4 linked regions of the Struthio camelus genome follow. The protein of the gene in region 2 purifies or fractionates together with the protein of the main gene of each other region. This does not show direct contact. Links are inferred from orthologs where the notes say so. Each region holds a gene or a part of one and is shown on either strand. Other genes may lie near its edges.

Evidence for each region.
Region 1: the proteins of DNAJB11 (region 2) and DNAJC3 purify together in Homo sapiens (affinity purification with mass spectrometry; 3 studies listed by BioGRID and IntAct, with this or other methods). This does not show direct contact. The link is inferred for Struthio camelus from reciprocal best matches to the Homo sapiens genes DNAJB11 and DNAJC3.
Region 3: the proteins of DNAJB11 (region 2) and tubulin alpha-1A chain purify together in Homo sapiens (affinity purification with mass spectrometry; 3 studies listed by BioGRID and IntAct, counting the BioPlex papers as one, with this or other methods). This does not show direct contact. The link is inferred for Struthio camelus from reciprocal best matches to the Homo sapiens genes DNAJB11 and TUBA1A.
Region 4: the proteins of DNAJB11 (region 2) and SDF2L1 purify together in Homo sapiens (affinity purification with mass spectrometry; 3 studies listed by BioGRID and IntAct, counting the BioPlex papers as one, with this or other methods). This does not show direct contact. The link is inferred for Struthio camelus from reciprocal best matches to the Homo sapiens genes DNAJB11 and SDF2L1.

What each region holds. Positions count from the first base shown.
Region 1 is NC_090942.1:166,180,806-166,187,810, forward strand, and holds the start of DNAJC3 (dnaJ homolog subfamily C member 3), read right to left. Parts: upstream 3,006-7,005; 5' UTR 2,809-3,005; coding exon 2,727-2,808; intron 1-2,726. UniProt on the Homo sapiens protein: Involved in the unfolded protein response (UPR) during endoplasmic reticulum (ER) stress.
Region 2 is NC_090950.1:4,130,444-4,138,383, forward strand, and holds the start of DNAJB11 (dnaJ homolog subfamily B member 11), read right to left. Parts: upstream 3,017-7,940; 5' UTR 2,902-3,016; coding exon 2,720-2,901; intron 2,482-2,719; coding exon 2,325-2,481; intron 797-2,324; coding exon 699-796; intron 1-698. Other genes in the region: TBCCD1 (TBCC domain-containing protein 1), read left to right, coding at 3,336-3,692, 3,810-3,959, 5,762-6,128, 7,104-7,290, 7,420-7,917. UniProt on the Homo sapiens protein: As a co-chaperone for HSPA5 it is required for proper folding, trafficking or degradation of proteins.
Region 3 is NC_090969.1:906,419-913,392, reverse strand, and holds the start of tubulin alpha-1A chain, read right to left. Parts: upstream 3,005-6,974; 5' UTR 2,682-3,004; coding exon 2,679-2,681; intron 1,095-2,678; coding exon 872-1,094; intron 792-871; coding exon 643-791; intron 1-642. UniProt on the Homo sapiens protein: Tubulin is the major constituent of microtubules, a cylinder consisting of laterally associated linear protofilaments composed of alpha- and beta-tubulin heterodimers.
Region 4 is NC_090958.1:10,271,676-10,278,858, reverse strand, and holds the start of SDF2L1 (stromal cell-derived factor 2-like protein 1), read right to left. Parts: upstream 3,020-7,183; 5' UTR 1,815-3,019; coding exon 1,646-1,814; intron 234-1,645; coding exon 37-233; intron 1-36.

The sequences.
Region 1 (7,005 bases), on a different chromosome or scaffold from region 2:
CTACACATTTCTCTCATGTTTCCTACAGAACTCTCCCCTACAAAACACTTTTTAGAAATCTTGTCCCTGAGCTTGGCAAGAAGCCCATGAAAATAAACAAAAGAAATTATAATCGTGTACCAGAAAAAATTGATACGAAGTCATAGACAAAGGAGAAACATACATGCCGTTAATCTCAATTGTGGCCATTTAAAATTTCCTTCCAAGCTTCCTTTTTTTCTTTTCTTTTCTTTTTTTTACCTGAAAGTTTAATAATTGTTTTATCATGGTGGGGGGGAAGGGGGGGGGGTCTTCGCTGCGTGAAGCTTTTTGATTAGAACTACCCTGCGCTTACCTCAAGTTGCAAGATTGCAGCTATTTTTAAATAGGTTTGGGCTTTGCTTGTGTCTGTGTGTGTTTTAAGACCAACACCAAACAAAGTAAGTAGATGAACAATCACAAAGTTTCAGGAGTAGTATGAAAGGGCTCATAAGAAGTCTCAGAGTACAGCAGCTCCCCCCACCCAATTAAGCTGCATGCGATTTCAGTCCACAAAGTTGTTACTCCCTCAGTTCCCAAAGAAAGTTGATAAATATAACAAAGGTCAGCAAACAAACAATCAAAAATACATACCACAAACACATCTCCTCCTTCCCAGGAAACTAGTTTCTTCCTCACATTAGTATCCATTACAGTTTGGGGTGGGGGGAAAAAAAAAAAAAGATTTCCCAAACTCCGGATAGAAGGATATGGAAGAAACACTTTAAATAAGGTTAGCAGTCTGACAATGAGTTGAGCTCTGTACACTGAAAGCTCATTTCTCTGTTGCAATGAGGCTGGACAACCCATCCATGAAAACTGACTCTCCCAGAGGTGACTCACATCAAATGAAAGCTTATTCACCAGGCAGAAACCAAGGTAATCCAGGAGGAGGAATTCAGGACACAACAGCAATGGGTGAACTGCAACTTGCCACACCAACAACTATTCCAGCTCTTTTACTGAACTCATGCACTAGCCAGAAATAAATTAGTTTTCATAAATGTTGACCCTTAAGACACAAAGCTAATTCAAGCTCACTCGTCCCAAAGATTCATGATTCAGATGACACAATGAAGACTTCTACAATCAAGGCAGCAAGACAAACATAAATGTGCCTTTTAAGGCCTTTGAGTTTAAAACCCCCTAATGCTGGAAAAAAAGAATCTAGATACTTGAAACAACAACAAAATCTACATCCCTTAACTCAATTTCCTGGGAAATGAGTTCGTGAAATAAGATAAGGAAGTAAATAACATCAAGAACCATCACCTCTTACCCTATTAATAAATATATTTTGAAAGAGAGTAAACTATCAGAGTTCAGTTAAGAGAATATACCCCAAGCTAGGAAACGTGGCTTTGGTAATTCACAGACTCATTAAATTATTCATTTACAGAGAATATAATCAGACTAGGCCAGCACTTCTGAATAAAGAATCCTCAGCAGGAACATCACTGCCAGAGTTCTATATATGTATTTATATATACATATACACACACACATACTTTGAACTCAGTTAGGTTTTTCCTCCAACAATAGCAGAATACATATCCAAAAAAGCAACTCAACACCACAGCACATAGTCATATACTACAGAGCATCTTTGCTACACTATGTACCTATTGCCACTTGGTGAGCTGAAATTTTCATCTAGTACATCTTCCGACTGAATTTCTAATGTCAAGCCAGGTTAGCTGCAAGTCCATAGACTTATTCTGAGTAGTGACAGTCTCAGTTCTATCTCAATCAACCTCTACCAGTGACAGGACGTTTCTCAGGTGCAACCGTGTTTCTGAATAAATGCACAATTGCATAACCAAGTTATAAATTTAACAGGAGCTTGAGAATGTGTTTGACTACACAGGTGTTGCTGACAGCATACTCTGAAAGCAGATAGGTTGCACGTGGTACTCTGACCAACTTCAAACACCAACAGTGATGCAAAAAAACATAAACAAATGGAAGACAGTGAGAAGCCACAGCAAACTTGCAGGTCAGGCCCTAATAACCGTTGTGGGTTACGGAAACCAAAGGAAAAAAACCTTCTAACTTGAAAATTACATACAAGTGATATAAAAGTGAGGCTTGAGGCCAGTACAGAACAGCTCAATGGTGCTGCAGAGCTGTGCTGCAGGCCACCACAGCATTTCCCCTTAGCTCCCTATTAGCAGGCCAAAGAAAATGAAACACACACCGAACTACCTCAAGCAGCACTGACTAAAGTTTCAGTAAAAGGCAGTAAGCTACCAGCAGCGGCACCAACATTCATTGCACACCTTTCGCATTAGCTCTGATGAGGTGGCAGTTCTGCGTCGCCTTTTTAACTCCCACCCTTTCCAAAAATATTTGCTTTCCGGACGCCCTGCAGGGACTGCCCCGACGCCACCCGGGGACCTCCCGCCGGCCTGGTCCCACCAGCTGCCCTGGGGCAGGCCGCTGCTCCGCTCTGCTTTGCCTCTGCCCCAGCCCCTTGGCCCGGCCCGCCTGCCATGGCGGCTCCCCCCAGGCCGCGGGGGGGGGGGGGGGGAAGGGCAGCAACCCAGGCGCCCCTCGGCCGCCGCGACCGTTAACGGCAGCCCGCAGGAACCAAGGCAGCGCCCCCCGCGGCCTCCGCACAAGGCGGCGCGCCCCACCCGCGACCCCCGGGCGGCAAGGCCGGCCTCCCCCACCCCGGAGGCGCTGCGGCCCCCTTTCTCCGCCCTCACCCTGGTACTGCAGGTCGAAGAGCACCAGCAGAAAAGGCAGCGCAGAGCCCAGACGGCCGGCGGAAGCCGCAGGAGACACCATCTCCACCAACGCCCGCGGCCGACGAGCTCCAACTTGTCCGGGGTGGGTCGTGGGCGCCTCCGATTGGCTGCGCCGCGCCCGCCCGCCCCCTCGCCCTCGGGAAACGTGGAAGCAGCGTGAAGGCGCCCGCCCGCACAACACCGAGCCCCACCGCTGCCACCGCGCCTGCGCGGGCAGTAAACCGGGAAGCCGCCACCGCGCCTGCGCGGAGAGGGGATGGGGGGGGGGGCGGGGGTGGTAGAGTGTGGCCGCTCGGCGCCTGCGCAGGAAGGCGGAGGACGCCGCGGGTGGCGGGATTGCCCTCACCGGGAATGGCGGCGGAGGGAGGGGTGAGGGGTTCCGCGTTTTTTGGTCAGCTCGCTGCCCAGTGTTTGATGGCGTACAGGCCTGTTTTCTCCTCACACTGAGCTAAATAATCAGCATACCCGTTGTCCTCCAGGCGTGCCGAAAAAGCGCTAGGGGTTGTACCCGGCCGCGGGCGAAGGGGTCGTCCGGCTTTGGCAGAGCCCGGCGTTTTTGTGGTTAGAAGTTCCCGCTGGGGCTGTAAACCTACACAAGCAAAGGTAGCCGACCAGCCAGCAAACGTGTTTCGGGAAATGTCTTTTCCTTTCTTCTTCATAGTGCAAATATGACGTGCTCTTGGTTATCCCGGGAAAAGTAATCTTGTATGTGCCCAGTTTGTTGTTTCAAATTATCTGCTTTATATTATTGGATAAACCATTCATATGAGGGGCCTGTTATATAATATTACACCCCATCAATGTTAAAAAAAGAAAAAAATCTTGTTCTCATGAGAATTCCACCCAGCAAATAACAAACTTGGCGCTAGAAATCTTATGTGGTGACCACAGACGTTTCTTTTTTTACATTCTGAAGATATGGTCACGTTGCCCTTCTCACCCAAGCGGAGAAAATGTGCAAGGTTTGCAGGACAAGCTTTTCCTGAAAGATCAGACTAAACAAAGAAAACTGCACGTTATCCCTCTCGAACGTTTCGTTTGGAAGATGGTGCTTCAAAAGGATCACCCTGAAATTTCACCGGCAGGAGATATTCAGAGATAAGAACTTGAATAATGGAAGTGGTAGATGTGCAATGAATAATTGATGCCACTCTAAAGATGTCAGCGTGAGGCAGAACATGACAACTCTGTAGCATTATGGAGAGGACAAAATACGAAAGCCAAAAACTGAGCATGAGCAGAATGCGAGCACTGTTACAATAAATGAATTCCTATGGCTGTACCTCAGAAAAAGAGACGTATTACACCAAAGCCAGACAAAAGTGAATACAGTATAGCAATTCACACCTGCAACTCCCTCTCCCCCCAAATGACTGGAAACAATAGTAAGGATAGCAGTCTACTTAATGGAGACCTTTAATAACAAGATTAGGAGAGAACAATCTGGAATCTGAAGAAAACTCAAAGCAGTAGCTGATACTGGAGTACCAATCTGAACAGATTTCCAAGCATAAAAGTCCAAGCATCATATCCCTTAAAAAAAAGTAACAGTATTATGATAAAAGTGAGCCAATATTCTCAGTAGATGCTTAATAAGGAGTCAGTATTTATACTAATAAGGGAGGTCAGTATTTCAGTAGGCTGTAGTAGTATATAAAAACAGTGTGTAATGCCAACACTACAAAAGGACGTGCTCAAAGAGAAATCATTTTTCACTGTCCGTCTGTGTTAGAGAAGTCATCATACAGATGCCTGACCAGTAATTCCTGAAAGAGACCATGAACCATGACAGAACATTCTTGATGATCATAACGCCTAAAAGTGTAATTTAGAGATTAACTATAAGCCTGGGAGAAGAAAGTACGTTAACACATCTTCCCTTGTGCAATTTCAGAAGCAAACGAGATGCAGAAGACGAGAAAGACTTAAAAGAACAAATGATATGACGTGCCAACGTCATTTTTTAGAAGTAATCTGAGAAATAGCAAGCCGACACAGCTGTAATACAGTAAGTCTTTCAAAAGGATCAATAAAAATTTGGCAGACTGGGACCAGAAACAAGTTTCTTCAGCAGCCTTGAGTTTTGGAGTGGAAGCTGGGTTGATTGCAAAGACTACGCTAATGTTCAAAGTGGTCAAAGGAGGGAAAGCCAAGGAATTTTCTCCAACACGGTTACTGCTGGTAATACAGTAACAGCAGAGGGCATCAGTTAGCAAGGAATGACTTTTTAAGACACTCGTTGCTTCTAACAGGGATGGTGACCTGAATATGGTGACAGATGTGGATTTAGTTAAATCTGTAGGTTCTGTTTATTAACTGGGAAACCTACTCAAATGTAACTGTGGTGTGGTGAGAAATCCAGATTAGGTGTGAAAACACACAGGTACTGGGAAGGACCCCGCTAATTACCTGTGAGCTAGCATTCTTGGCAACACATCTTAGTTACTAATCTCTGTTCCAAAAAAAACCCCATCCATATCAATCAGTTTCCTGACACAGGAGAATAAGCAATATATCGGACTGTTATGTTACTTCCACAGTCCTGTATGAAAATACGGGAGGCGGTGAGACAGGACGATAACACAGAGTTACTATCCTCGGGGCTTCTTCTTGTGAGGGATCTCTCAGGCCTTACACCTTGTTTTTATCCATTCCCCTGTATGTGCATTGCTATCAGAAACGCAGCTGTGTTATTAAATTGGAGTGATGACCGAGCTAAATGGGATAGTAATGTACATCTCTGCTAGCAGGCATAGCATAGGGTTATTGTTTACATGGCCACATCTTTTGGAAGTTCCAAGATTTCCCATTTTGGGTGGCATTTGTAAGAGATGACTTTAGGGAAATTCCTTGTCCTGGGCTCTTTTTGCAATACATGGAAACAGAAAGGCTCCTACAGAATGCAGTTCAGCCCAAGAACTTAAGTACTGTAAATGTGCTCTTGGAGAAGCTTATGGACTTTAAAGAGTGTGAGGAATTAGTCTTCTTTAGGGTAAGGTTACCCTCTGTTAATGCTTTCCCCTTCATACTGTCCCAACAAAATTATACAAGTATATCTTAGTCCTAACTGTGATGGGAGAACCACTTTTCCAGTGTGGATTTAACCATCTGCGCTATGACCTTGAGTTTTGACACTACAAAAAGAGACTAACTGCTGTCTGTTGTTTATATCGCTATAAATAGGCTCTACCTAGGTCTTTTGCTCTCATTTCGGTTAAGCTTGCTATAATACAGGTCCTTCAGTCACTAAACTATATTACTATAGCTGATTATCAACAGGGCTATGTGTTGTGAGATATGTAGGACAGAAGTTGGAAGATGGGAATTAGACACCAATGTTTCATTTTCACAATTAAATTTATTTTAAATTTATTTTAATCAGTGAGATGTATACAATATCTGCAACTTTTCTTACCAGCCATGGCAGCAACAGCAAACTCCAGAAAATTCCAGAAACAACTCAAATTCAAACCTAATTCAAATTTGAAACAATTCAAGATGAAGTGAAACAGTATTTTTCAAGCATTTTGATTTAAAAGCCACGTCTGTTGATTTTGGGAGGGTGAAGGGGCTTGACAGAAAGCAAAATATTACATTTATTACAAAATCTCACCTCTTTTAAAATACGTATTTTCATTTTTGAAGATGTAGAGCATTTTAAAATGATACTCTGAAATCAGAAGTCAAAACTTTGCTTCAAACAGTAAAATATTTTGGTATTTCTGAAGTAAAGCATTCTATTTTGAAAATATATGAAATAGTTTAACATTCATGAACTCTTATTTTCGACTGAAACCCATTTATGAAATTCAGCCTATTTTCATAACTAGTTTTGAAACTGTTTGAAACTCTGCAACTGTTTTTTGGTTTGCCTAGTGTATTAAAAATAACTTTCCCAGCTGAAGTCCCAAAGCTGAAGTTTCAAATCTACATGATGACTCCAAGCTACTTAAGTGTTTCTCTTAATCGAACACGTCTCTTCAATTTTAAAAAAGGTGAAAAATATCAGTGACAAAGCACTACGTTATCAGTTAAGGCGTCCATTCCTACCTTATGTCCTGCCAAAACACCAAGGTCTGCAAAGTTCACGCTTCTGGGGATTTGGACTGCACGGTTAAAGTGTGTACGTGTGCAGCCTTACCTCTGCCTGCTCCAACGCACACCTCAGCGCTGCCAGCCTATGCCTGCTATCTTTGTATGCAGTGGCAGCTGCCTGCATCCCATGTAGAGTTATTCA
Region 2 (7,940 bases):
TTGTGGAGTTTGAAGACTGAGGCAATATGGAAAAAAAAACAAAAAAACCCCCACCAACCCACAAACTCCACAGCAAGTCTGAATGCCTTGCTCAAAACAGACCAGCAAACAGTGGTGGTTCTCACCCAGAAGGATTACATGAGCAAAGCACCTTAATGAATTATTTTAGCAAATTTCTTCCTAGCAGGAACAAATGGACCTTAAGCAAACTAAGCAACATGTGAGTGCCTTCAGACTTTAATGACACAAACTCTGCAGTTGCTCTGTTGTAAAAGTCAGTACAGCGTTTCTTCGTAAAACAAAAAGGAACCCCAAAGCGTGCTCTTGGTCTGTGACAACAGGTTAGACATCAATCACATATCAGAGAACTCGAGAAAGATCCTACATGTTTAATGCAACACCTTACGCATTGCTCACATGAGCGCCTCAGCTTGCCAAGTGAGTAACAGCCACGCGCGGGGGAAGAGAACGCTGGCTCCTAGTCACTGCTCTTGGAGAAAGGACTAACGCGAGATACACAAATGAAAACAGCACAGGGAGATGTCCATTGTATGCGTACTTCTTCAAAACCCAGCTGCCACTTGATATCAGTGCCTCTCCCTCTCCCTCCTGGAGAGGTAAAGGGAGAAGATCAAAGACCTTAACATACAGTTAGAGCTCTGACTACACAATAGCCTAAAGGAACAAAGCCTCCTTACTGTGAGAAGATGTCTCCATGGGAACTCTGGTGCCCATCCTTCAATCCCTCTTCGCCATATGCATCATATTGCTTCCTCTTCTCCTCGTCCGACAGCACCTGGGCAAAGGGACAAGACACTCATCTACAGCTGAACCAGGTTATTTAAACAAGCCTTTGAGATGAACCTTGCCAGTTCTCTTAACTGAAGGACAAGCAGCAGCATGTAGCACATTACAGAAGTGTTGGCTAGAACTTGCTTGCTGAAGTGGACTGGAAAGTTAAATATTTAGTAGCTAAAACCTAGAATTAGCTTATTGGAACAGCAAAAGCAAAACACACAAAATACAAACAGTACAGAGTTTACCATAGTGACTTGAAAAAGAATCAAACGGGGATAATAATTCGAATCAGCCCTATGAAGCAGAACACTCCACAGAAAGCTGTGTAATACTACTCTTGTTCTTCAGGCACATACAAAACGACTATTTCTTCAAAGAGTATTGTATAACTGTGAACAACGATGGCAAGTTTGCCCACCAAGCTGTACCTGCCAAATATGGTAACTCTGCGACAGCAAGAACGCTGGCCCTCGTTCCTAAAGGGGAGCAGAAGTCAGCAAGAAGTAACTTCAGTATTAAGACAGAATTAAGTACCCCAATGCAGGTACCGTTTCTCAGTATGTGGTCTTTGCTGTGCGTCCCGAGATGCGTAAGTTCCTGGATCAGATTTAGTCTTCCTTCCCTTTCCTCCCTGACTTGACCTGCTGATTATATTTTGGAAGACTAAAACTGTCAGGCCAGCTTCCAGAAAGCTGGCGAAGAGCAGAAACAAGGGAAGAAGCAACTCTGCTAGCTAAAGGGTGATGGTTTATGTAATGCATTAATACCTAAAGTTAAGAGAATATTACATTATCAAATTATCACAGAAACGAGAAAGTTCCTAACACATTTGATTCCCTACCATAACAATTATTTTCCCAACTTTAACATGCCTAGTAAAAGGCAAGCTCAAAACCTTTCATCTCACATGAGCCAAAATTTACTCACAGCCCATCTATACATATAGACAGATTGTTCCTGTGCCAGTGCTTCCAGCTGAGGCAGCTTTCTTTCGTCCTTAACATTTATGGTTTAGTGTGGGGTAAACAAAGAACTTGAACTTTCTGCCCTTGTTTTCCTCTGGTTAAGCGAGCTATGGCTTTTGTATGCTTTCCTCCAACAAAGTAAGTTCTCTCACCACACTGGCAGCTTCTCTGCCTTTGTCCTTTATTAGATGCAGCATCTGGGACTTGATACCATTTTGTAATAGGAGAAGGAGGAGGGATCGCACCAGGTACTAGCGCTTCCTAGGAAGCCCTCCTTGAAGGTGTAAGATGGGCTCAGTTCTTTCTCGTTCCTCTGAATCTTATGGAGAGGAAACCACAGCAGAGAGCCTGTTGGCCATAAGAGGCTTCACGCCTGGAGCTTGCTTCCCCGTGAACCCCACCTGTCCGGGAAGGCCCTCGGGAGGGCGTATTAAGGTTATCTCGAGCCATCTAGAGCACACGCGACTGCACCTTGCCTCTCGCCCCTCCCTTTTGCAGCAGCTACAGCAGGCCTGGGGAGCATCCCGCTGGGCAGGGCGGCGGGGGGGCACCCGGGCTCACCTCGTAGGCAGCGCCCAGGTCCTGGAACTTCTCCTGCGCCCGGGGGTCGTCGGGGTTCCTGTCGGGATGCAGCTGCAGCGCCAGTTTCCGGTAGGCCTTCTTGATGTCCTTGATGGAGGCGCCGCGGGACACCCCCAGGATCTTGTAGAAGTCCCTCCTGGTGGGGGCGGGGGGGGGGGGGAAACGGGGCAGAGCGGGGGGGACCCGTCAGCGCCGCCGCCCCAGGGCCGGTCGCCCCGGCGGGGGAGGGCGCATGCGCACAGAGCCGCGCGTGGGGGGGGGAGCGCGTGGGGGGGGGGGCGCGAGCACAGGCCCGCGTTGTGGGGGGGGGGGGCGCGCGCGGGCCCTGCGCTGAGGGGAGCGGGGAGGGCCGGGCCCGGCCCCGGCGGACTCACCCGGCGGCGGCCTCGCCGCACACGCAGAGCAGCAGCAGGCAGAGGCGGCCGAGCGAGGCGGGGGACATGGCAGCGCGGCCTGGCTGCCGGCGCGCCCGCCCGCAGCCGCTGGGAGCCGGGGGGGAAGGCGGCGCTCTCCGGCCGCGGCCCGCAGCACCGCAGCCGCCCGCTCCGCTCACCATAGATATGAAGCGGAGCCCGGCGACGGCCGCTGGCCAATAGGAGCGCGGCACAGCGCGCCCACCCCGCGCGCCGCCGGCCTATCGGCCGCGCACACTTCACCACCGGCTCGGCGCCGCCGGCCAATCGGCTGCCAAGACATCAGCGCCCGGCCGGCCGGCCCAATGGCGGCTGGCAACGTCACGCCGCCCCTGCCCTATCGCAGCTCCGGAGGGCAGAGCGTCGGCGCGGGCGGAAGTTGCCAAGCCTAGAGCGAGGCCGGCGAAGGGCCGTAACCAATCAGAGGTGGCGGCGTTCGTTCCGCCTCCGCGCCCGCTCGGCTCGCCAATGGCAGCCGGCTCCTCGGCGAAGAGGGCGGAGCGCCGCGCGCAGTCCTCCGGGCGGTGGGCGCTCTGGGCGGCGCCTCGCCTTGCCTCGCCTGACGGGGGAGGCCGCCATGGAGGCGGCTGCGGCGGCGGCGGCGGCGGGCCCGGCGCGGCTGTGGGTGAAGACGGAGCCGTTCCTGCTGGGGGCCGTGCGGGCGCCGCCGCCCGCCAAGCTGGGCCGCCACTACCTGCGCAAGATGGCGGCGTACGCTCGGGCGCGGGCCGCCGACGGCTGCTTCCCGCGCCTGGCCTGGCCGCGCTGGCGCCACATCGCCTGCGGGAAGCTGCAGCTGGGCCGCGGCCTGGCCTGGCTCTACTTCGAGCTCTTCGACAGCCTGGCCCGGCGCGACCCGCCGCGCCGCCTCCAGCGGGCCGAGGCGGAGGCGGCCTGCGCCAGCGCCGACCAGCTGGAGCGGCAGCGCAGCAAGGCAGGGGGGGTCCCCTCTCCCAGCCCCCTCCCCGGGCCGGGCCGGGCGGTCGTGGGTGACGGGCAGCGCCTCTTAACCTGTGTTTTGTTTCTCCCTCCCCCCCTCCTCCTTGGGTAGTTGTCAGTAGACACCCTGCAGTTCCTGCTGTTTTTGTACATCCAGCAACTGAACAAGGTTTCTCTGAGAACGTCCCTGATCGGCGAGGAGTGGCCCAGCCCCAGGACCAAGTCTCCCGACCTGACTGGGAAGTCTGCCAGTCAAAATAAGGTATTTGGGGGCGTGGGGGGTCTCCTGAGGTTGCTCCGTGAGAAAACGGCCGCCTCCCCTGGAGGCGGGCTGAAGAGCATCCCGTTTGTTGCTGGGAGAGCGTACCCTGCCTGAAGCATTTCTGCAAGTCAAATTTGAGCTACGTCTCAGCACGGTAAATGAGATGAAACCGATATGTTCTCTATCGCTTTAACTTATGAAACGGTGACACTTGCCTGCTGAAATTTCCTGTGGTCTGAGACTAACTGAAAATTTTTTCTGAGTCTTCCTAATTCTCCTTCTAAGCAGCAACAGCTTCTTTGGTTTTTCTGTTAGAGGGGTGTAGCCAGCCAAGCAGGAGGCTTTTCTTACGTTGAAGGCTGCTTTCCCACGATCTGCGTTAAATTATTAGAATTCCAAAGCGGTGTTTAGGAAAATGTCATTAAGTTGTATTGCAGAGAGATGGAGTGGCTGGTCAACTGTAGATCCGTCACGTGAAGATGATGATGTCCCACATCAAGTGTTCCTAAATAGGAGAAGTAAGCTGGATACGTCAGCTGCAGTTCATGGTCTGCTCTGTATTTGAGAGTGAATTACAAATTGCCAACAACGTTATAAAGGCCAGGTGCAAACTTCAGCAGGCTTCTGTCCTGGCTATGACATGAGGAGCCATATGACCCAGTGAACTGTAATTTGGGACAAGCTGAAATGATTAAAAGGAGGGACCGGGTAGCTTTAAACTAAAAGACTTAACACATGAAAAAGAGATGAGAATAACTAATGTAAAGCTGTGAGCTGCAGGCTCCAGGGTGGCATCCAACATCTTTTGGAAGTTGATGCTTTCTTTTAATCGCTGTTCAAGTTTGACTGTCAGATGAACAAAAAATAGGTGCATCCTGGCTGTCAGGGTAGCCATGCTAAACGTTTTGATCCTGATGGTGTGGGGGGCTGTCTCCACTGGCATTACTTTTTCTTGTGAGATAGGAAGAGATGCCTCTAGTTTCAGTGATCCCTGATATGAGCACTGCGAGAAATTAGCCCCTTTGAAATGGTTTGGTGAGGCTTATCCAGTGTGAGCTGCTCTCTGTCAGCCTGTGGCAAGACGCTGTCCAACGCTGCTTGTTGCTGCCTTTTAACTGCAGCCCTTATCGGTGGGTGAGGAGAATGTATGATCGTAGCTGGCGTTACTTGTTCTGCAGTTTGCAGGCCAGCAAAAGTTGCCTTTGTTGATGGCTGCCATAATTCCAGTCTCCCACTCTTTTTTGGTATGGAGCCTTTTAAAATTGGAGCTAACGATTCTTCCAGAGGCTGTTTAGTTTATTAGCGCGCTCACCTCTGAAGAAATGACCCTCTGTTTTTCCCTGCAGCTCCTCTGAAGGAGGTACTTTGTCATATCTGAAGGTCTGAAAGAGATGCAGTGAGCTTCCAACAGAGCAGTTGCAAGACCCTGACTGTCAGTTATTGATTTGTTTCCAACCTTCACTTGCCAGCGCTGTCTGGCCACAATTGTGCGGGAAGGATTGTAGGGGAATCTGTTTCCTGTTTTGGCTCTTTAGAGTGAAATGTTTAGTACCTGGAATTGGAATAAAACAGTTTTCTGGTTTCGAGGGTTGCTGGATGGATCCAGTTTCTTATGCATGTTTTGGAAGAGCAGACCAACAGAAGCGGTGGGCAGAAAGAGAGAACACCGTGTTCCACTTGAATTCCTTCTTTTAGAACTACTGTGATTCTAGTGTAAGCAGGGATGTCTTGTATAATGTTGATGAAGCCTGTCCGCTTTGTGAGAGCTCACCTCGTTCTTGTTTGTTTTTCTGCCTTCTAAGAACTGGAACGATCAAGACCACCAGGCCTTCGTGCAGAGCCACCTCTCGGATATGCTGGAACTGCTGCTGGAGCCAGACCAGCTCACTGCCTCTTCCCATTCTGCTCACAGTAGTTTGGTCTCTTATGAAGCTGTTCGTGCCCTCAGCTTTCTTATTGAAGGGACTGTGAACAAATCTAGAACTGTCCATCCTCTGCATGAGCTTGCCCTCTGGCAGCCCTTTCATGGGAAAAATGGCTACTCGAAGATCTCCAAAGCCTTCTCTTTCACCAAGCTAGAGAGTTGGATAAGGTCTTGCCTGACAACAAACCCCTTTGGAATGACTGCGTGCCTCAAGTCTGGGAAGAAGCTTGCCTGGGCGCAGCAAGGTATCTGTAGGCCTTGCCTTTACTTCCAGAGGTAACTTTCAGCCTCAGCTCCTTGTCCTGAGCAAGGATCTGGCAGTGGAGTGTGGATTTACCTCCTTTTCCTCCAGCTGACAGTGGAGATGGGGAAGGTAACAGCTTAGAGGCGAGTCTGGGAGGAACTAGAGGGTGCCGTATGACACGTATTTGCATCTTTCTGGTTCTTTGATCACTTTTATGAGCAAATGTCAATGACTTTATTTTCACATGCTCTTCTGAGGGAGATCGGTATTACTATCCTCATCTTTCAGGTACCACTGGAGGCGAAGAATAGAACATGTGATTTGTCTGTGGAGGCTTGGGTGGTTGTGGCAAAGCTGAGAACTGATCTGGATCTCTTTGAATGGACTCATCCCATGCCCGCAAAGACATTGCAGTGGAGCCGGACATCTTTCACCTTAGAGGAAAAAAAAATAAGATTAATGTTTTGTTTGCTCTGACTGCACACTAGTAAGATGTAAGATGGGCAATGTGAGATGGGACAGCAAAGCTGCTCAAGGGTTGTCTGTAGAAGGAGCATTTCATTGGTTTAGTATGTCTTAAAATGTGTGATCTGCACTTTCAATGTAGTGCTAAAGACTTGCCCTGAGTCTTTGTCTGGCAGGAAGATCCTTCTGTGCAGGAACAAACTCTGGAAATTGAGATGCCTAGACCAGGTCCGTCCGTCTGGTAGTTTCTGGGAGACTCTGGCTTCCCATGAATAATTCTGAAGGGCTTTTGATTCTTTGGATGTACCATGACTTCTAGAGCTGCTGACTGCTGTGTACTGCCTTCCTGCCCAGGAGTTGTTAGTGGTAGTGTGACCGGTGCATGAAGTGACACAGTTGGACAGTGCCGTCCTTGAAGTTTGGGGCTGATTTTGTGTGCTTTTCTTGTGCCATTTGAAATGATGTGAACCATCATATTCTTTCTCAGTGTCTTGATTAACTTATTTTGCAGTTGAAGGAACAACCAGAAGAGCCAAGATTGCTTGCAATACTCATGTGGTCCCTGAGGTGTTTCCCATGGTGATAATGAGCCAGGTGTACAAACAGACGTTGGCCAAGAGCTCAGACACCTTGGTGGGGGCTCATGTAAGAATTCATCGCTGCAACGAGTCTTTCATTTATCTCCTCTCTCCTCTCCGGTGAGTTTTTGTTTTCCTGAGGCACAGCTAAATGTCATTTAGCAGGTCTGTTTGAGATGTGCTAACTTGTTAGAAGAGTCTGGGTTTCGGACTTTCTGGCTCACTGTGTCTTCTCTTGCTCTGTTACAGATCTGTGACCATTGAGAAGTGCCGGAATAGCACTTTTGTCCTCGGCCCTGTGCAGACATCTGTTCACGTCCACAGCTGTGACAATGTCAAGGTCATTTCTGTTTGCCATCGTTTGTCTCTCTCTTCCACCACTGGCTGTACTTTCTACATTCTTACACCTACCCAACCTCTCATCCTCTCGGGTAACCAAGCAGTCAGCTTCGCTCCTTTCCACACCCATTATCCAATGCTTGAAGACCACATGGCTCAGGTGGGCCTGGCCACTCTGCCGAACTACTGGGACAGTCCCATGCTGGTGTGCAAAGAGAGCAGTGACACAAGCGTCTTCCGCCTCCTGCCACCCTCGGAGTTCTACACCTTTGTAATTCCTTTCGAGATGGAAGGAGACACAACGGAAACGCCGGGCGGACTGCCCCACGCGTATCAGAAGGCACTGAGTCAGCGAGAGCAGAAGGTACAGATCTGGCAGAAAACTGTGAAGGAGGCAGGCCTGACCAAGTGAGTGTTGCATCCTGGCAGGA
Region 3 (6,974 bases), on a different chromosome or scaffold from region 2:
TCTGTGGCCTCGCTATGACATTGTGGGGACTTTCCAACAGCAGGGCAGAAGCCACCAGGACAGGGTGACCCTAACTCGATCTGTTGGGAGTGTCATGGGAGCAGTGAATTCCCCAGGGGAGCAGTGGGAAGCCCCTGCACAGCCTGCGGGGCTGGATTTCTGCTGTGTGTCATGTGGCCCCAGAGCTTGGCCCAGGCTGAGCCTTGCCAGCAGCAGCAACGTGAACCCAAGGGTGGCTTTTCTGGGTGCGTTTTGTGTGCAGGGCTGGGAGGAACAGGGACAGGCCGGGGCCACGGCACACAAGGAGCCGCAGCACACTCAATTGGACGCCTGTTGCCACCCAAACGCAGCTGGGCTCAGGCTGCGATGAGGAACTCAGGCGGAACAAAGAGGGAATTGCAGAGCTCAGCACCGAGGGGGGCCGGGGGCTGGCGCGGCCCCGAGCGCTCTCCAGCTGCGACGCACGCTGCTGCCGGGAGCCGCCGGCCAATGGGAGCCGCCCCGCCAAGCCGGGCGGCGCAGCCGGATTAACATTAATTAATATATTAAATCTAAATCCAGCCTTGCTGGTCAGGAGGGAGGGCGAGCTGAAGAGGAGTCTTTGTCCTTGTCGCCCGCCCACCAGCGCCCCCCGGCCCCTACCAGCTTGCGGATGCGGTCGAGGACCAGGTCGATGATCTCTTTGCCGATGGTGTAGTGCCCCCGGGCGTAGTTGTTGGCCGCATCCTCCTTGCCCGTGATCAGCTGCTCGGGGTGGAAGAGCTGCCGGTAGGTCCCCGTGCGCACTTCGTCTGCGGGATGAGGCCAGGCACCCCGTTAGCGCCGCCGGCGGCACCACCACCAGCACCGGCACCCCCCGCCCCGCGCTCACCGATCACCGTCGGCTCCAGGTCCACGAAGACGGCGCGGGGCACGTGCTTGCCGGCCCCCGTCTCGCTGAAGAAGGTGTTGAAGGAGTCGTCGCCGCCGCCGATGGTCTTGTCGCTGGGCATCTGCCCGTCGGGCTGGATGCCGTGCTCCAGGCAGTACAGCTCCCAGCAGGCATTGCCGATCTGCACGCCCGCTTGGCCCACGTGGATGGAGATGCACTCGCGCTGCGGGGGGGAGCGGGGGGCGTGAGCCAGCGCCCCGGCTCTGCGCCCCCCAGGTCCTGCCAGCGCCGGCTCTGCCCCCCACAACGCTGCCCTGTGCCTTGGGCTGGATGGGGCCAGCCCCTGCACCCGCTCTATTGTTCTGTGGGTGCTGGGCACTGCGGGGAGGGGAGGGGCTCTGCACCCGTGGCCATATCCAGCCCTGCTGTTTGGGAACCAGAGCCACACCCAGTGCGGTGTGGCAGTGCTCAGCACCAGGGACCCATCCTGCCCCACTGAACAGGGGCCACACCCCATGCAACATGAAGACCAGAGGGTCTCATCCTGCCTCACCCACACAATTGGACCACTGCCATCCCTAGTATATGTTGAGGGCTCAGCACCAGGGCGCTTATTCTGCCCACCCACACTCTGGTGCAATGCGCAGTGTGGGTTGCAGGCTCAGCACAGGGGTCTCATCCCACCCTGTCCTCCCCACAGACCCCACAGGGACCCCTGAGAACCAGGGCCACACCCACTGTGGGGCACTCAGCACCAGGGGCTCATCCAGCCCTGCCCACTTTTGGTGCTGTGCCCAGGGCAAGATCAGGGTGCTCAGCACCAGGAGAGGCTTATCCCACCCTGAACACCCCATTAAACAGGGGGGCCACACCCAGTGCAGACTGAGCACTCCACACCAGGAACGGGATCCATCCTGCTCCGTTAACAGGGGAGCCACACCCAGTTAATTGAGCTGAGCACTCCCACACCGGGTCCCATCCTGCCCTATTAATGGGGGAGCCACACCCAGTGAACCGAGCTGAGCACTCCGCACCGGGAACGGGTCCCATCCTGCTGCATTAACGGGGGAGCCACACCCAGTGAACCGAGCTGAGCACTCCACACCGGGAACGGGTCCCATCCTGCTGCATTAACGGGGGAGCCACACCCAGTGAACCGAGCTGAGCACTCCACACCGGGAACGGGTCCCATCCTGCTGCATTAACGGGGGAGCCACACCCAGTGAACCGAGCTGAGCACTCCGCACCGGGAACGGGTCCCATCCTGCTGCATTAACGGGGGAGCCACACCCAGTGAACCGAGCTGAGCACTCCGCACCGGGAACGGGTCCCATCCTGCCCTATTAACGGGGGAGCCACGCCCGGTGAACCGAGCTGAGCGCTCCGCACCGGGAACGGGTCCCATCCTGCCCTATTAACGGGGGAGCCACGCCCGGTGAACCGAGCTGAGCGCTCCGCACCGGGAACGGGTCCCATCCTGCCCTATTAACGGGGGAACCACACCCGGTGAACCGAGCTGAGCGCTCCGCACCGGGAACGGGTCCCATCCTGCCCTATTAACGGGGGAGCCACGCCCGGTGAACCGAGCTGAGCGCTCCGCACCGGGAACGGGTCCCATCCTGCCCTATTAACGGGGGAGCCACGCCCGGTGAACCGAGCTGAGCGCTCCGCACCGGCTCCCATCCTGCTGCAATAACGGGGGCGGGGAGCGGGGCCCCCGCCGCCGCGGCGCCGGGCGGTGCAGCGGGCGCAGAGGCGGCTCCCCGCCGCCACCGCCGCCCCCCGGGGCCCCGCGGCCGGTGCTCACCATGGCGGCTGCTCGGCTCCGGGGCTTTCTTACAGCACGACTCCAAGGCGGTCGATGTAAGAGACGCGGCGGCGGGCGGCCCCGGCGCGGCGCTTTATAGGGCGGGCGGCGGGGCCGGGCGGGGCGGCGGCGGCGGCGGCCATTGGCGCGGGGCCGCGATGAGGTAATGCCCCCCCGGCGCCGCCAGACAAAGGAGCGGCGGGGGGGGGCTCGGCTCTTTGTGCCCCCTCGCCTCGTCGTTCTCCAGCCCCGGGGGGGATGCGGCCGTGCTCGGGCTCCCTTCCCGGCCGAGCCCCGGTTCCCAGCCCCGGGCCCGGTCACGCCCTGGTCCCCATCCCCACCGTGCCGCGGTCCCTGTTCCTGGCTGTGTCCTGGTGCCCCGGTTCCCAGCGGTGCTCCGGTCCCCGTGACCAGTCCTGTCCCCAGTCCTGGCCATGCCGTGGTCCCCATCCCCACCGTGCCCTGGTCCCCATTCCTCACTGTGTCCCCATACCCGGCCACGCCCTGGTCCCCATCCCCACCGTGCCGCGGTCCCTGTTCCCGGCTGTGCTCTGGTCCCCATCCCCGCCGTGCCACGGTCCCCGTTCCCAGCACTGTCCCCGTTCCCGGCCACACCCTGGTCCCCATCCCCGCCGTGCCGCGGTCCCCGTTCCCAGCACTGTCCCCGTTCCCGGCCACACCCTGGTCCCCATCCCCGCCGTGCCGCGGTCCCCGTTCCCGGCCGTGTCCCCGTTCCTGGCCACACCCTGGTCCCCATCCCCGCCGTGCCACGGTCCCCGTTCCCAGCACTGTCCCCGTTCCCGGCCACACCCTGGTCCCCATCCCCGCCGTGCCACGGTCCCCGTTCCTCGCTGTGTCCCCGTTCCTGGCCACACCCTGGTCCCCATCCCCGCCGTGCCGCGGTCCCCGTTCCCGGCCGTGTCCCCGTTCCCGGCCACGCCCTGGTCCCCATCCCCGCCGTGTCCCCGTTCCCGGCCGTGTCCCCGTTCCCGGCCACGCCCTGGTCCCCGTTCCTGGCCGTGCCCCTGTTCCTGGCCGTGCCCCGGTGCCCTGGTCCCCAGCCCCATCCTGCTGCCCGTTCCCGCCGTGCCCTGCTCCTGGTGAGAGCCGCGCCGTGGCCCTGTTCCCTTGCCAGCCCTCTCTGCACCCCAGTCAGCCCCTTGGGCCCCACCGGAGAGCCCCGCGGCCGCTCCTGGAGCGGCTCCCGGGGGGTTTGGGCAGCGCCCTGCAGATGGGCTGGCTGCGGCCGGGGGGTTCCCAGCCCCAGCGGCAGCTGCTTCCAGGAGCAGCCGGTGCCTGGGACCCAGCGGGGGGCCAGCGGGGGGACGGGGGGGCCACGTCTCCCCCCTCCATCTGCTGCAGCCCCTGCGCAGCCCCCCTGCCCCGATCTGGTGCACCCCCCCGGATGCTCCCGGGGCCACGGTCCCGGTTTGGCCTTGGTGCAGCCGCCTGCAGAGCCCACAGCAGCTGGGGGTGGGGGGGGGGCTGGGGAGGGTCCCCCAGGCCGGTTCAGGGGCGGGAGAGGGCTCCGCGGGGTCTCTGCGGGCCGGACGCGCAGGGCAGGGCTGGCGCCAGCTGCTGCAGGTGGAGCCGCCAGGATCGCCGCTCCCCCTCTGCTGAGAAATCGCATTTTTCTCCGCATTTCCCACATTATGCAGATTTTTGGGGCAGCTCCAGATCCCCGCTCCCACGTCCCCGCTGTCCCTGCACCCCTGGCCGCCAGCAGCCCTGCTCAGCCCCTGGGGCGCAGCGCCGCGTGCCCAGCTGCGGCACAAAGCAGCCAGAGGGGGGGCTGGAGCCCGGCTCTCCCGGCGCCGCGGGGCTGCGAGCCCAGAGACAAAGAGGGACCCCGCTTTGGGCGCCTTCCGCCAGAACAAAGGGCTGCGCAGCCCCCCGCGCCGGAGGGGTTTAACGGCCCCCCGGCCGGCGGAGGGAGGCCGCGGAGCGGGATCCGCTTGGGTTCGCGAGCGGGGAGGGCGCGCCGGGGCGAGGGGCGAAGCTGGGCGCCGGGGTGCTGCCGGGCCGGGCGGCGGGGTCGCATCTCGTCGGGAGGCACTGGGAGACTTTCTGCCCTTTGTTGTTCATGCCGGGGAAGGCGGTCGGCGCTCCGGGGCGGACACGCCGCCGCGGCCCGGCCGCAGGGCCCTGCCGCTGGGCTCGCCTCGTCGCCGGGCCTGGGCAGGGGACAGCCGGGAAATTCGGCTCCCTCCGGGCCTGTCTGGTTCCCAGAGCTGTTGATTGCAAATGGGCTTTTCGGCGCCTGAATAAGATCGTGGTCGCTTGGACGCGGCCCCACATGGGCCCAATACTGGGAAACGCCTCCTGCCTTTGTCTCCCGGCTGCTCTCGGATCCTCGGCTCCGGCGTGGGCGCCCGGGAGGGTGTCCCCGGGTGCCGGGGGTGCTCGGAGCAGCCCCCTGCCTTGGGGACCCCCCCCGGCTGGGGCAGGAGGAGCTGGCGGCTCCTTTACCCGGGTCTGCTGCCCACCCCTGCCTCGAGGTTTGGGTGGTGGGGTGCTGCGGGGACGGTGAGGGCATCACCCCCCGCCCCCGGGTGCGCAGGCGTGGGGCGAAGGGCTCCTGGTGGCACGGGGGTCCGCAGCACTGGGGGTCCCAGGCACCAGGGGGGAACCGCAGCCCCCCAACCTCCCAGACCCTTCCCATCTCGTTAGGTATGGAAGACCAGTCGTCTCCCCGCCGACCGCTGCTAGGCAACCACCGTCGGCACAGGGTTGCTAGGAGACTGGTTGCTAGGACATGGGCTAAGACCCCCCCCATATCCCCCCTCCCCGGCATCCATCACCCTGCCGGGCTCTGCCGGGGACGTGGGGAGACGGGGCTGGCATGAGCCTGCCTAGCTGGGCCCTGGTGCCCAGCCCTGCCGTGCCACCGTGGGGGGGACACCAGCCTGGGGGAGTCCCCGATGCCCAGCCCTGCCGTGCCACCGTGGGGGGGACACCAGCCTGGGGGGGTCCCTGATGCCCAGCCCTGCCGTGCCACCGTGGGGGGGACACCAGCCTGGGGGGGGGTCCCCGATGCCCAGCCCTGCCGTGCCACCGTGGGGGGGACACCAGCCTGGGGGGGTCCCCGATGCCCAGCCCTGCCGTGCCACCGTGGGGGGGACACCAGCCTGGGGAGTCCCTGATGCCTGGCCCCATTGCATCCCGGCGGGGGGGACACCAGCCCCCCCGTGCTCCCAGCCGCCCCCCCCAGGCACTTTCCTCCCCGCCTGTGCTGTGTTGACTGTTGGTAGCAACGCGGCGGCTCCTGGTGACGGTTGCTGGGCCCCCGCTGTGTTTGCAGCCCGCCGGCGTGGCCCGGGCCTGGCCGAGCCGGGAGAGGCCGCCAGCGCCCCTCGGGCCCCCCTCGCCCGGCCCCCAGGAAGCCCCCAGCCCGCGGCAGGCGCTCCGGGGGCTTCTGGCCCGTTGCTCTCCCAGCTCGCTCCCGCGGCCCCCGCCTGCGCGCCGCCCCCCCGGCCCCATCCGGGCGCGTGCCCCGGTGCAGGGCGTCCAGCTGCTCCCGCGGCCCCCGCCTCGTCCTGCCGGCTGCGGGCAGCGGGGTGCGCTGGCGACCTTGGGCACGTGGGGCCGGCTCTCGGTGTCCCGAGTTTATCAGTGCTCATGCATTCGGCGGGCTCGCTATCTGTCCTTGGGAGACTTTCACACGCTCCCTCTCTCAGCATGCGTCTTTCCTCCCCTCAGCTGCTGTTTCATGGTGCTTATTTCCCCGACGCTTGCACAGAGGGGGCCTTTTGGGGCGCGGGAGGCGCTCGCGGCCCCAGAAACGGGGGGCTGCCCGGGGGCTGCGGCACGCCGGGCGAGGAGACGCGATGTGGAGCGGCTGCTTGGCGGGCCAGGACGCGGCACCCAGGGCGCGCAGAGCAGGGCGGCCGGCGGCGAGCGGCGGTGCGAGGCCGCGGTGGCCCGGGGAGCGGCGCGCCTGTCAGAGCCGGTTTGCGTCTCGCAGCCCTGGCGCCGGTTCACGGGGAGACAAAGTGACTTCCTGGGGACCCATCTGCTGCTATTTTTAACCTGTTTTTCTACCGAAACCCGGCGCGGGTGACGTGACCGCGGTGTCTGCTCGTCCCCTGTAAATATCCATGCGACGGATTGAGCGAAAGGGAGACGAGGCAGCGCCGCGCTGGGCCCCCGAGCCCCGTGCCGCTGGTCGGGGCCGGGGGCCGGGGCCTCGCCGCCCGCCCCCGCAGCCCGGCGCTGCCCCGTGGAGCCCTCCGGCACTGCCCGGCCCCACGGAGCTGCGGCGCAGGGGCCGCGCGGGCAGGGCAGCGCAGAGCGGGG
Region 4 (7,183 bases), on a different chromosome or scaffold from region 2:
GCTTTATACAAAAGCTTAACATTTAGAACAACTCACTTGGTTATTGGAGAGTGGTGATGGGAAGTGATGAGTGTGTAAATTTTTTCCTGTGTTAACGTGGGTAAGTCGTATAGCTTGCCCACATTTCACCGGTGTTCCTCGCTGGCAGCTGCCATCACTTTTCCCACGAATCCGCCAGTAACTGTTAGCATCATCTGAAGCTTCAACTCCTGTCACTGACTGTTGCCCACTTCCTGTTTCAACAGAATTAAGTAGTAGGAGGCTTAACCCACTTTTCCCAGTTCAAAAAGTTCTGAAACACACTACAAAAGAGTATTTCAGTCTCAACCATTTTCCTGTTTTAGACAGCCTCTAATTCTATAACCTTATTCGTGCTGCAATCTAATAAACAAACTGAACTGATAAGGAGAAGAAAAAATGTTAAGGCATGAACATCTAAAGAAATCTGCCTTAATGGTCTCATGCCTTCATGCTTAGAGGTGCTTAGTTGTCATAGTCCACCTATTGACTGCAATGGAAATGCAGGTACCAAATGACTTTAGACCGAAGAACTTAAACAGAGCACGAAGAACTTAAACAGAGCACGTGTTAGGAGATGTGAACTGTTAAAGTTCACAGCAAACACACGAGAAGAAGTTATGTTGGAGGTATGATCCATGAAATACTATTCGCATCTTTTCCTTTTCAAAAATACTATCATTTTTTTCAAGCACTCAAACAAGGCACTCAGCAGCCTCACCCCTCCCGGCACAGAGGCTGAGATGGGACTGCTGAGGCCCTCCACACAGACCAGTGGGTCACCTCGGGTGAGGGCAGAGCACCCCTGGTACTCTGCGGTGGAGTCCTGCCCCAACCCCTTCTCACACCCTGGGCCTCAGCACCCTCCTCTCTGCAGCTTTCCTCCCAGCCTGCCAGTTCTCCCCCAGGACACCCCACAATCCCTGGCCTGCTGCTCCCTCCCCCCCGCACCAGGGGCACAATCCCCAGAAACCTCAAACCTCCTTCCCTGGGCCACCCGCCATCTCCCTGTCCCACTCGCTGCCTGCCCCCCGCCATTTCACAGCCCCCCTTCCCACCTACCCCCCCGCCATTTCACAGCCCCCCCTTCCCACCCGCCCCCCGCCATTTCACAGCCCCCCTTCCCGCCTGCCCCCCCGCCATTTCACAGCCCCCCTTCCCACCTACCCCCCCGCCATTTCACAGCCCCCCCTTCCCACCCGCCCCCCGCCATTTCACAGCCCCCCTTCCCGCCTGCCCCCCCGCCATTTCACAGCCCCCCTTCCCGCCTGCCCCCCCGCCATTTCACAGCCCCCCTTCCCACCTACCCCCCCGCCATTTCACAGCCCCCCCTTCCCACCCGCCCCCCGCCATTTCACAGCCCCCCTTCCCGCCTGCCCCCCCGCCATTTCACAGCCCCCCTTCCCGCCTGCCCCCCCGCCATTTCACAGCCCCCCTTCCCGCCCGCCATTCCCCAACCTCCCTCCCCGCGAGCCCCCCCGCCATTTCACAGCCCCCCCTCACCGTCTGTCCCCTCACCGTTTCCCAGCCGTCCTCCCCCCCTTTCCCTGCCCCTCACTGCCGGCCGACCAACACTTCCTTGCCCCGGGTCGCCTCAGCGCGGCGCTCCCGCCCCGGCCCTGCTCACCGGAGCCGTACTTGACCTCGTGCGAGTGCAGCCGCACGCTGTGGCGGGTGTTGAGCAGCTTCAGCACCGACCCGCAGGTAACAGCACCCGGTGCGGGCTCCCTGCCGCGACACGGCCCGCCCAGCAGCGCCAGCAGCAGCAACGGGAAGAGGCAGCAGCCGCCCCGCATCGCTCCTCAGCCCGGCCGGCACCGCCGCCCCCCAGCAGCGGAGCCCGCTTCCACACCCCCTCCGCCACGCCAGCCAATCACCCGCTGCCAGCACCGCGGCCGGCCAATCCCCGCCCGCCCTCTGCTCCGGCTCCCACCCGCATTGGGCTATACCCTAGTGACCTCACCACCGGCAGACCCCCGGCGGGAGGAGCTCATTGGGCCGGGGGAGAAGAGGTGGCCAATCAGAGCAAGCGGCGTGGCACCTCCCAGGGAAGGATGCGGAGGAAAGCGGCGGCTCGCTTCCCGTCAGCGATGGCGCGGGCGGGCCCGAGGCCGGGTCAGCGCCCGGCTGGGCCGCGGTTCCCCGCCACCTTCCCGCGCGGCCGGAGCGGAGCGGCCCGGCCCGCAGCGCCCCGGGAGTGGCGCTGACAGGAACGCGCCTCCCTCTCTCGTTGCGAGCTTTCTGTTGCCGAAAACAGGTTTATTTCAGAGGAAAGCAGGCCGGGTTTGGTGCAGCAGTTGTCTCATCTGACGCCTACTCTGGAGTTGTAAGAAAAAGAGAAGCTGGGCCGTTCTGACTAGCTGTTACGGGCCGCGTACGAAAACACACTGCAGAGAGGACTGATCAGTGAATTATCGCCAGAGCCTGGGGAAAACCGGGTGTCTTCGCTAGGGGGAGAGCGCTGGCAGACAGGAGCTAGCTCTAAGGTAACGAGCCTGGACGCAGCGCCGGAGAGCTGGTGTCGGCGCCGATAGGTAAACCAGCCCGTGCCCTGGCCTTCCGGCCGCTGCGGGCCCAGAGCGAGCAGCTGGGGTGTTACTTGGCACAGATCTGCCCTTCCCTGCCGTCCCTGCTCTTGAAGTGTAAACGTACCCCCATTTTTGGGTCTCTGAAAAGCACAGCCAGTGCCATTCAAAATGCTAGTGTAACAAAATGCTGAAAAACAAAGCAAATTCATGGTGGTGAATTGGCTTTCATGAGAAAATACCACTGGTCCAATCCTTTCTGGATGGTATTAGAGCGTCTCATGACAGGGCATGAATACTACGCCAAGAAGAGCTAACAGCGATTACTCTGTCATTAAGCTGCAATGAGAATGTCTGTGCTTTCAGAGCACAAAGTTCACCTTCTGTGATTCAGTCTCCTTTGTGAGGTTCTTGTAACAAAAATATTAAGCTTGATATGCAGTGTACACTGGCATTCTGTATAAAAGAAAGCTGCATAAATTAACATACACATTTCTTCCATTCATTGTTTAGTTTTGCAGACTGAAAAATATTATCTTTTTTTTTTCCTTAAAAAAAAAAAAAGTCTCCTTTATCAACAGGAGACAATCACAGACAAAGGATGACACAGTATCTCTAGCATGGCCCGTTAGCTCTGCCTCTGAAACTGCTCATTTGATTGCCCCATATGTCACGTCATGGACAGTCTGGTATGAGTTTGGTGTAACGCTCTCAGGAATACAACGTAATTTAACAGAGCAAAAGCTTTTGACCTTCCTAGCAGCAAGGAAACAAGTAGGAAGGGCACCTGTCTTGGGACTTAAGTCGTAAGAATGGTATTCTACAACGTGCAACAGCAAAGAACTGCAACACTGCACTTTCTATTATAGGATGATTTAGAAAGCACATTAGTCTGCTGCCTAGTGGAAACATTGTAAGATGCTCAGCTGACTCTTATCTTTTCCACCAGTCCTGAGTCTGTGAGGCTTTTTACTAGCCACATGTCACTCACTCGAATAACCATGCTAGCTTTGACCCATTTGATGTATCTGTGCCTACATCTAAGAATCATCTCTCACTTAAATGGCAGGCCTGCATTAAAACAAGCCTGAGTCCTAAGCTCACATACATGCACATATACACATGCGCACACAAGACTCGGTGTGTTTTTCTGATGACTATAAACTAATTTTCTAGTTCCTGAAATGTAAATGTCTGCTCAAAGAAAAGCAAAAGATCACACATTGATAACCGAACATCATATTTCTATGTCGTTCTAAGAAACCTCCCTCTTCTTGTAACTAAGACAATAGCTTGCATTTACTGGTGTTTCTATAAACCGGGCAAACCCAGATGTCTGTAGTTGCTATTTTAGCCATGGAAAATCAATCATAAGGGGCTTTAGCTGGTACCTGTCCATCTTTCTGGGAGGTCACTTGCTCCCAGTGCATTCAGTGCCATTTACATGGTGCTCCCTACAATGCTTTTCAGTTGTACTTGAGAAACATAATTGGGTTAGAACGGTTGCCAACAGAGAACCCCATCAATGCTAAACACCCATGGCAATTAGCAGCCACCTCATTGCTGCAGGGCCCGCTATTGTTTTTAGTAGACTGTTGAAAGCTGCAGGTAAACTTGGCTCCAAAATTATGTGATGGGGCACATAATGAATGGAAACAATAGCTTCTTGCATAGGAATTTCATTGTGGTTCTTGTTTATGCACAGGAATAAAATAATCCAACAGCACAGTAAAAGGGGAGAGTGTAGGATATAACTAGAATGCGTTCTGCCTTCGATCACTTAATCCTGCAGTCCTTTCACAAGCAAAGGATTTTCAAGGAATGAAAGCACCTACAGTTTCTGCTCAGTTGCACTTGTAGGTATAACCTGCCCCCTTCCCCCCCCCCCCGAAAAACAGGTTTTAGTGGGTTTGGCAGCGGGAATCTATCTGTGTGTGTAAAGCATAGGAATGGGCGATCCGGAACTGGAGACATGGCACAAGAAAATTTCAGGGAGACTATGCTGGCCCAAAGCAACATATTATAGAAAAGTATTTTCCTTCTTTTTATGTTGGCGTTAAGCTTTCCCCTTGGTTATGGGGAGCACTGCAGTGACATCTCCTGGATTCTCTTTCTCAAACTATCACTAACCTCAGGCAAAACATACAGGACACAGTTCTGCTCTTACTAGGACCTGACCCAAAAACCTTAGAGTCCAACATCAGCTTTATTACTGACCTTTCTCCGCATCTGATCCTTTCTCTGATGTCAATAAGGAGGAACTATACTGAAATCAAGGGAATACTAGTACTAGAGAATCAGACCTGTAAACGTTTCTGGTTCCTTCTACTTCTGGGTCTCCTCCTTTCACGACACACTGATGAAATGATGGTTGTAACTTCACTCCAACTCAAATATTTTTTATCTATTCACATGACTTAGAACAGAGCTGTCTTAACTGTGACCTCTAGGCATGGCCACAATACAAATAAACCGTAATCCCAACGGTAAAATGCTGTCACCCAAGGAGAAATTGAAACAACAAAAAGGTGGCTTGCCAAGAATTTATGGAATTACAGTCTCTCATCACTTAGCCCATGTTTTTTAAGGCTTAGAGACTGAAAACTAGCTATTCAGATTTTTTTTTTTGATTCAATAGATACAAGCAAAATATAAGAATAAGCAAAGTATGTAAGTAGAAGACATTTGACAAAAAAAACTGTATAAGTATATACATGTTGAAACTGTAGAATTTCACATCTAAGGGAAAACAGTTGATGTTTTCTGATTGCTACCCTGTTTCTAGTCTTTGAAAAAGAGAGGACTTTCTGGGAAGTTCTTCAGAGTCTTCACAATCTGTGTTCAGTAACATCGTCAAGTGTCTTTTGGCTATTCTCCCAATTGATGCTGGCTCTTCAAGAAGAGGGGATCTCCTCTTAGAGCTTCAGCAGAATTAGCATCTGTGTACATTAAATCGAATGAAATTTTCCAGGTGCTCTCAGTGAGGCTGAGAGAAGATTCCAATTGCTGTAAGTGAACTGCAAGATTAATTTCCACATGTAAATGATGCGTCTGAGGAGTTACCCATGTTCTCACTGGTAACACTAGCTCTTTTGCAGAAGGAACATTATTCCCTGTAAGACTCTGCAGAAATCTCTGGTGTGCAGTAACAAAGATAACAGCTTTCGGCTGCCACTCTTTTGAGACAATAAGGAGTCCTCAGAGGTCCTGCAGAGGTGTCATCTTCTCTGTCTGGTAAAATAGGTAATTTTCCCTGGCTCTCATTTGCAGTACTAGATTTTTTAGAAATGTTGTTTCTCTTAAAAATTGTACGGTAGCCTGCTTTGGGGAGCCCTCTACCTTTTACGATAGACTTTCAGGAAATTTTGGAGGCAGTAGTTCAGTTATCTCTGGCAGAGGAGTGATATTCTGCCTAATGGGTTTCTTGGTTCATTGTACTTTGCTGATGATCGTTTATTGCTTAGATCATCATCACTACATCAGAACATCTTTTTTGCCCATGACTTCTGATGTAGGCTTTTGAAATTTAGAGCTCTTCAAGCTTCCAATCTATCAATTTGTGACGAAAGTCTTTTGCCACCGTCCTTGAGTTTTTAAAGCCAAACATTGTCTCAAGGTGTACCTCTGTGAGAGGAACAAATGTAAATCCAGGTTTATCTGAAAGTGATTTTTCAGTTGCACTTGTATAAAAAGCCTTTTTAACAAGAGATAAAGAATCTGCTCTTGAATTCTGGAAAACCTGTATCATCCCAGCTGTTCTTTTTTGCCCCTCCAGCCCTTCACCCTTTAGGAAGGGGGATCCTCGGAAGCAGAGGAAATGCAAACTATTTCCTGTTGTCAAAATAGAACTGAAAAAAAAAAGATTAAAAAGTTTAGATGTCATTAATACTTAAGTGTAAAATGTAGCTAGTATCGAACATAAATTAATTTTTAGTCTTTCTGCATTAAACAGTCTGAAGGAAACAGAGAGAGAGAAAATAACTCTCTGAAAAAGTAAGGAGAGAAAATGGATTAAAATTCACTATCAATGAGCAGTGCCATTAATAATCATCAGTAAAGAAAGACTGGTCTTTCCTCACCTATGGGTTGTGCATGAATACACATGCTAAGTAATACTCAAATCCTGCTTTCTGCTATACTCTAACGTAAAGCAATGGATGAGTCAGTGAGTTAAGGATTAATCTAAAACCATACTTAGGCCCTATGCTTGTAAGAAACACCACTTGTGTATGCTTAAGCCTATCGTCTCACTGAAGTCCTGAGACCTGCCTACCTGAAATTTGTCAAGGAGAGTTTGAGTCTGGTACTTTAACATTACAGCATGATTTAATGTAAAGTTAATAATAAGATCATCATAGTAAACTTTGCCTTTTAGCTATATAAGCCACCTTGCTAACGCCATGCACCTCGTCAGGTTTTGACACATTTTGTACCAGTGTGAATTCAGATGACTTCAGAAAAAAGGAAAGGGAAGGTGACTGATATACTGTGTAGCCTCCATTGATCTGGTATGCAAGGAAGCCTTTGGTCTCCTAGCAGATATAATCCAGAATTTGGGGATATCAACCCTTTTTGATGCGAGAATCCATACCCATTTTTCCAGTGGAGATGTGACTCCCGTACAGTGAGTTGGGCAGTCA